2 linked regions of the Rattus norvegicus genome follow. Each later gene encodes a partner of the first gene's protein in a complex. Links are inferred from orthologs where the notes say so. Each region holds a gene or a part of one and is shown on either strand. Other genes may lie near its edges.

What was found.
Region 2: Ercc2 (region 1) and Polr2j share a complex: the UniProt entries of both Homo sapiens proteins name them as parts of the TBP-based Pol II pre-initiation complex. The link is inferred for Rattus norvegicus from reciprocal best matches to the Homo sapiens genes ERCC2 and POLR2J.

The regions. Positions count from the first base shown.
Region 1 is NC_086019.1:88,159,795-88,164,146, forward strand, and holds the start of Ercc2 (general transcription and DNA repair factor IIH helicase subunit XPD), read left to right. Parts: upstream 1-1,547; 5' UTR 1,548-1,577; coding exon 1,578-1,582; intron 1,583-1,797; coding exon 1,798-1,897; intron 1,898-4,352. UniProt on the Homo sapiens protein: ATP-dependent 5'-3' DNA helicase. Component of the general transcription and DNA repair factor IIH (TFIIH) core complex, not absolutely essential for minimal transcription in vitro.
Region 2 is NC_086030.1:26,179,040-26,182,237, reverse strand, and holds the end of Polr2j (DNA-directed RNA polymerase II subunit RPB11-a), read left to right. Parts: intron 1-1,504; coding exon 1,505-1,679; intron 1,680-2,231; coding exon 2,232-2,267; 3' UTR 2,268-2,589; downstream 2,590-3,198. Other genes in the region: Lrwd1 (leucine-rich repeat and WD repeat-containing protein 1), read right to left, coding at 2,654-2,794, 2,889-3,001, 3,090-3,198. UniProt on the Homo sapiens protein: Core component of RNA polymerase II (Pol II), a DNA-dependent RNA polymerase which synthesizes mRNA precursors and many functional non-coding RNAs using the four ribonucleoside triphosphates as substrates.

The DNA.
Region 1 (4,352 bases):
CATGGTGCCTCACAACCATCAATAGCTCCAGCACCAGGGGATCTGATGCCTTTTGACCTCTGTGGGTACCAGGTACACACTTGATGCACATACATGCATGAGGCAAAACGCACGCATCAAAAATAAAATAATTATTTTTTTTAAAAAAAAAAGAAAATAGCCAGATATTGTGGAAGCAGAGGCAGGAAGGTTTTTGTGAGTTCAAGGTCAACCTTGTGGATAGAGTAAGCTCTAGGACAGTGTCAGAACTAAATAGAGAGACTCTGTCTCAAAAAGAAAAAGAAAAGGAAGGAAGGAAGGAAGGAAGGAAGGAGCAAAGGAAGAAAGAAAAAGGTGAAGGTGACATTTGAGCAGGGATCCAGAGATAGGAAATAACGGACAGCATTGTCTAGCCTTGCTATCCTGACCCTCAGGAGTCTGAGGTGGGTGAGTCACGAGTAGGGGTGGGGGGTTGGGGGGAAGCCCAGGCTACAGAGTGAGCTCCTCCGGACCAGTTTGGGTTACATAGTGAGACAGTCTCAAAAGAGAGCAGGAGGGGGCTGGAGAGATGGCTCAGTGGTTAAGAGCAATGACTGCTCTTCCAGAGGTCCTGAGTTCAAATCCCAGCAACCACATGGTGGCTTATAACCATCTGTAATGGGATCCGATGCCCTCTTCTGGTGTGTCTGAAGGCAGTGACAGTGTACTCACATAAAATAAATAAATAAATCTTAAAAAAAAAAAAAAGAGAGCAGGAAGGGTTCATGAGAAGATTCATGAGGTAAACCGCCATTGTCTTTTGACCTGAGTTCAATTCCCACACATGGTGGAAGGAAAGAGCTGAACCAAATTCTGCAGATTTCCTCTTCCTTCCATAGGCCAGAGGTATTGGATTCCATGGAGCTAGTCCTAAAGGTGATCGATCGTAAGCTGCCTGATTTGGAGGTGGGGGGGTGGGGGCTGGAAACCCTAATCCTCTTCAAGATCAGAAAGTGCTTTTAACTACGGAGCGGTTCCTCCAGGCCCTTAATTAATGCATTTTTGTTTGTTTGTTTGTGAGCCTAAGCTTTAATATCTGAGTCATCTCTCCAGCCCATATTAATGAATGCTTAAAAAACACGTGGTAGAATCTTGCTAGAGTAAGAGTTCAATAAATAGGAGGAGCTGTTTTTAGGTTTCCTGTCTTAAGTTTGGATACCAGTATTTTATAAATCGTGCTTGTCTGGTACAATCTCGCCTTTGTAACTTAAAGGCTCCGAACAGCTTCCAATTCCTCTGTTATTTTCTCCTAAACTCTATTCCCGACTTGGACAACCAGGACAGAACCAGGAGGAGCAAACGTCAATGAACTGTAACGATTCTCTCGACATTCTACTTTCTGTGTTCTGTTCGAAGTCTTCGGCGATCCTCAGCGATGCCTTGGGCACCGCTTCTCTCCGGAGTCCGCCCTCTCACCGCTATGCGCACGCGCCAGTTTTCCGATTGGAGGAATGACGGGAAGACTCAGCCAATGGCATCGCGAGGAAGGTGGTGCTCTAGGTCACGCCCCCTCGTTGAATATTCAGGAGGCGGGCGAGTGGACGCCGGGACAAGCCGCCATGAAGTGAGATGGGGTCTCGGGAAGAGTGGTCGGCACTGCGGTGGGCGATGGGGCGGCCGGTGGGTGTAGCCGGGGCCAGGTCGCGGCGTGGAGAGGCTACGGAGACCGGTCCGGGTGGCTTCGGGGTCCGTGGCGGGGAGACGCCACGGAGGCGGGCGGGCGGCGCGGAGGCCGGGGCGGCTCGAGAGCACCAGGCACCGACGCCTCGTCGCCGCCAGGCTCAACGTGGATGGGCTGCTGGTCTACTTCCCGTACGACTACATCTACCCGGAGCAGTTCTCCTACATGCTGGAGCTCAAGCGCACGCTCGACGCCAAGGTGTGTGGTGAGGCCGTTCTCCTGGCACTCTGGTGGCTCCCGCAGGCTAACATCCTTGCTATCCCGCACCCTGAAAACCCAGGCAGGAGCATCGCTGCGAGTTTGGAGGCCAGCCGGGTCTGTACAGCGAGACTGTGTACTAAACAACAAATGTAATTAGCAGGACTAGGAGCCCAGTTGGTAGGGTCTTGCCTAGCTACCATGGATGAAACTCTGGGTTCCATTTTGGCACCGCATAAATTGAATGGGACAGTAATTACAATATGTTTGTAATTCCCGGAGCCGGGAGGCTCAGGAAAGATTTCTCGAGTTTGAAAGACAGCCTGAGTTTCATAGTGAGTTCCAGGCTAGCTAGGACTATATATAGGGAGACTGTTTCCAAAAACATTTAGCTAATAGGGGAGAGTCGGTTATAGCTCAGTTGGTAGAATACTTGCTTAGTGTGCCCAAATCCCAACACCAAATTAACACGGCATAAGATGATGCATACCTGGAACCCTAGCCCTGAGGAGGCTGAGGTGGGAGGAAAAGTGGAGGTTTGCAGCCAGTCTGGGTGAGTTCCAGGCTAGCCAGGGCTGTGTAGCCCGACCTTTAAAAAGATAAGGGCCATCAAGATGGCACAGCACTTCATCTTAGCAATCCTCCTGCCTTAGGTTCTTAGGTAGCTTGAGTGACAGGTTTTAATCACGCTGACGGGCAGAGGCTGATTGGTCTGTGTAGAGGTGTTCCTGGCAGTCACAGTAGTGGAGGGAAGGATTCCATATGTGGAGATCAGAGGGCAACTTTGTGGAGTTGGTTTTTCCTTCCACTTTTGTTTCGTTTTGGGTTTTGAGACAGGGTTTCCCTGGCTCTCCTGGAACTCAATGCATAGCCCAGGTTGACCTCAAACTCAGAGATCCACCTGACTCTGCCTCCCAAGTGCTGGGATCAAAGGCATGCACCAACACCACCCAGATATCCTCCACTTTAATGTGGGTTCTAGGGATCAAACTCAGGCTGTTAGGCTTGGTGGGAGCACCTTTACCTGCTGAGCTATTTCAACAGCCCTGAACACAAACTTATTTTTTTTTTTTTATTCTTTTTTTCAGAGCTGGGGACCAAACCCAGGGCCTTGTGCTTGCTAGGCAAGTGCTCTACCACTGAGCTAAATCCCCAACCCCAGAAACTTATTTTTTAAAAAAGTTTTTAATTATACTTACTTGGAATGTGTGTATACATGCTATGGTGTGCATGTGGAGGGTAGAGGAGTTGGTCTTGGGGATTGAACTCGGGTGATCAGGCTTGACCACAGGCGCCTTTACCAGCTAAGCCATATTGCTGGCCCACAAATGTATTCGTCCTCACAACCTTGCTCCAAGTAAGGCCTATAGAAGCAAGGATGTTGCAGTCCAGAGAGGTAAAGGTTCCTCCTGTCTGCTGCTCAGTAAACTCGTTAGCTGTGTCAGTAGGAGGGACACAGAAATAAGGTTCAGCCTGTAATCCCAGTACTCAGAAAGTGGAGGCAACAAGACTGCCAAACGTTTGCAGCCAGCCAGAGGTTCATAGTAAGTACTAGGCTAGCCAGGCCCTTGGGGTATAGGTGGGGATTAAGAATGAAAAATTTAGGGGCTGGGGATTTAGCTCAGTGGTAGAGCGCTTACCTAGGAAGCACAAGGTCCTGGGTTCGGTCCCCAGCTCCGAAAAAAAGAACCAAAAAAAAAAAAAAAAAAGAATGAAAAATTTAGGGCTTGGGGATTTAGCTCAGTGGTAGAGCGCTTGCCTAGCAAGTGCAAGGTCCTGGGTTCGGTCCCCAGCTCCGAAAAAAAAAATGAAAAATTTAGAAACATCCAGACCATGTCCAGTACAGAAGTCAGTGCTAGCAGCAGACCACTGAACTGAGAACAGGACCCCCTTGGGGGGAATTAGAAGAAGGAGATTGCAACCCCATAAGAACAACAATGCCGGGCTGGAGAGATGGCTCAGTGGTTAAGAGCACTGTCTGCTCTTCCAGAGGTCCTGAGTTCAATTCCCAGCAACCACATGGTGGCTCACAACCATCTGTAATGTGATCTTGGCGCCCTCTTCTGGAGTATATTCAGGCAGAACACTATATACACAATAAATAAACCTTAAAAAAATAAATAAATAAAAATAAAGAACAACAATGCCAACCAACTACATCTTTCAGGGACTAAACCACTACCCAAAGACTATACATGGACTGACCCAGGGCTCCAACTGCATATGTAGCAGAGAATAGCCTTGTTGGGGCACCAGTGGAAGGGGAAGCCCTTGCCAGAGTTGGACCCCCAGTTCAGGGGAATATGGGGGAGGTGGCAGTAAGGGGGATGGATGGGGAGAATACCCGTATGAGGGAGGCGGGGAGGGGATGGGGGTTTATGGATAGGAAACCGGGAAAGGGAATAACATTTGAAATGTAAGTAAAGTCCAGCAAAAAAGGAGGAGTGGGGATTGT
Region 2 (3,198 bases), on another chromosome or scaffold:
TTTCCTCCTCGCCACTGCCTTCCAAGTGCTGGGATCCCAGCTGCCTGCTGGCTGGCCTGCGTGTGTGGTGTACAACTGCAGCGAGCCCCAGCAATTGCCTCTTGGTCTTTTGGTTCAGATCAAGTCAGGGAGCTCTAGCAAAGCAGGGTTTCATTTTAGTGGGCATTAAGAGGCAGCATTAATGCCAGCAAGTGTTGGTGTTGTGGAACACACCCTTAGTTCCTGCCTTCGGGAGGCAGAGGCAGGTGGAGCCTATAAAGTTCAAGGCTAGCCTGGTCTACATAGTGAGCTCCAGCACAGCCAAGAGAAACTCTGAAAAAAGATAAAGAGGCCAGCAGAGGCATCTGCGCTGATGGTGGTTGCAACTCTTCTTTAGCCTCCATCTTTTGTCTGAGGCAGGATTTCTCTGTGTAGACCAAGGCTGGACTCAAAGTCAGATCTGCCTGCCTCTGCTCCGAGTGCTGTGTGCAATTAAAGGCGCGCGCCACCGCTGCCGGGCTAGCCTCCAACTTTTTAAAACTTATTTTGTGTTTTTTCCTTATGTGATTGCCAGTGCCCTCTATGGTACTGAATTCCCTCCAACAGCAATTATAGACGGCTCCCATGGGACGTGGGTGCTGGAGACTGAACTTAGATCCTCTGTAAGAGTCGTAAGTTTAAAAAGAGGGAAAAAAAAGCCTTGTTCCTGACTGCTTTGCCTTGTTAACCGGCTATGCTTGTCACCCGTGAAGGCCAGAAGGCATCAGGTCCTCCAGAGCCGGATGCTTGTCAGGTGCCGTGGAGCGAAGGCTCTTCTCTAGCTCAGCCTGCAGCCTAGGAAAGGTCTGTGTATGCGAGTGTCTGAGCTAAAGAGGATGTCGGCAGCCATGAGCCGCTTGCTTAGGCTCTGTACAAGGGCAGTAGGTGCTCCACCGCTGAGCCATCTCTCCAGTCCAGTCTGCCACTCGTGTTTGGGGGTCCTAGGGGGTGGATCACCTGGGACTGGGTGAGAGGTGAGCCACCCACTACGTGGGTCCTGGCAGAGCAGCCAGTACTCTTACCCACTGAGCCATCTCCAGCCCCCACTTCCACAACTCTTCACAAGGTTGGCTGGGCCTGCTTGCTGTACCTAGGGATGGGGCCGTTGGTTTAGGTGAGGCCTGCAGACACGGTCATGGGTTCTCAACTAATGTGGTTCCCAGACAGGGTCCTTCACCCTTGTAGACACAAGGTTCCCATATGGTCTTGGGTCCCTGTAACTTGATTTTCCCCACTCTAGTGCCTGGAGGGACCTCAGGCCTCATGAATGTTAGGCAAGTTACTCTACCATGGCGCTCCATCCCCAGCCGTGTCTTAAGACGGGCTCACTTAGCGGCCTAGGCTGGCCTTGAACTCCCAGTCCTCTGAGCTGCCAGAATGAGGGCCTGCACCACTCACTTATTCCCAACTGCGCGTGGGGGGCCCTTGGTCAGCACGGCTGCCAGGTTTGACCTCCCTCCCTCACTGTGAACTCCGCGTTTCTCAGGCAGCTGTTGAAGGACCCGCAGGTGCTGTTTGCCGGCTACAAAGTCCCTCACCCCTTGGAGCACAAGATCATCATTCGTGTGCAGACCACCCCAGACTACAGCCCCCAGGAGGCTTTCACCAATGCCATCACAGACCTCATCAGTGAGCTCTCCCTCCTGGAGGAGCGATTCCGGGTGAGGAGCAGGGGTTAGGCGGACACTGGTGGGCTGCTGCTGTGGCTGTGCGTTATGCTGTGTCATTTAGTAGTGGAGCTGCCCCAGCACTTAGAATCCCCGTGACATGTATGCTGGGGCGTAGCTTGGTTTCATGTTTACCTAGCACCATCAAGGCCTTGGGTACAATCCCTAGCACCCCGGGGTGGGGTGTGGGGTGGGGGCTGTCCCTGTGCCACTGGCTACTCTGGCTCATAAGGCCCAAGGACTCCAAGCCCTTGTCTAGTAGCCTAGCCATTCTTCCCAGGGTAGGAATGACAGTTTAGTCAGGTGCCCTCAGTGTAAGGTAAGCCACACTTTTTGATGCTTCACCCAATTGGGTGTGTCCCACACGGCTCCATCCCCGGCCCTCCGCAAGCAGATGCCACAGAGCAGGGTGGGTGAAGTCTGCTGAGGTATCTGGAGCCCCTGGTCTGCCTCCTGCTATGTCCTCTGGACCAGAGTCTTGGTGCCCTGCAGTCCCGATACACTAGGGTGATTCCAGCATAGTCACTGCCTTTGTCCTCCATCAAGGTGGCCATCAAGGACAAGCAAGAAGGAATTGAGTAGCAGCTGAAAGAAGCTCAGTGGCTGTAAGGCTGGTGCGTGTATCTGCCCTTCTCCGTCCACCACGATGGCGACAGCCACTCTCAGCTCTCCAGCTGGGCACAGGACACTGTCCCATTCTGTACATAGACTGTTATTTTCCTAATAAAGTACAGCAAAAGAGGGGCTGTGCGGCATGTGGCCTGTCACTGAGACCCAAACCACAGGCTGGGCAGAACCTGGGACTGCTGGGCCTGCCTGAGTTAAGCAAGGTAGGAGCCCCAGTGGAGCCTGTGTGACTGCACTCACTTCCGACAGTAGAATTTAATAAAAAATACTCACTGGTACAAACCCCTCTAGCACTAGGCCCAAGCTAATAAGCCATGTCCTGACACACTGCCTTGGGCGGGCTAGCATGTCTTCCAGATGGACACGATGTTGGAGTCCGTCAGAGCAGTGAGGTAGGTGAAGGCTGCATTGGCCACGACTGTGTTTACCATGGTCTTGGTCACTGGTTGGCCCAATGCTACTGGCTGAGGCCACTTCAGGATCTTAGGAGGGAAAAAGCAAATGCTAGGCTCCTGCCTATCCCACAGCAGCCAAGGGGTAACCAGGGTCTGCAGGGAGCCAACGTCACAGCAGTACCTGTGTTGGGGGCTGCAGAGTTGTTTCAAGTGGAGGTGGCTGCTTCAGTAGGTGTTCAACATCGTAGATCCACACACTGCCTTCCTCGTCTCCACACAGCACGAGGTTTTTGTCTGCCAGGACGAGCGGGAGCCTGAGATGGGGCCGGGCGAGGGCAGGGGCGGGGGCAGGAAGGGAGTGTAACGGGGTGGGCAGGCTCACCAGGACAGGTGCTCAGTGAGAAGTAGGCCAGGCTGGTGGGTGACCACTGCAGCTGGGCCAGGATGACTACAGGCAACACCGACTGGCTGCCCCGGCTTGCCCATGTCTG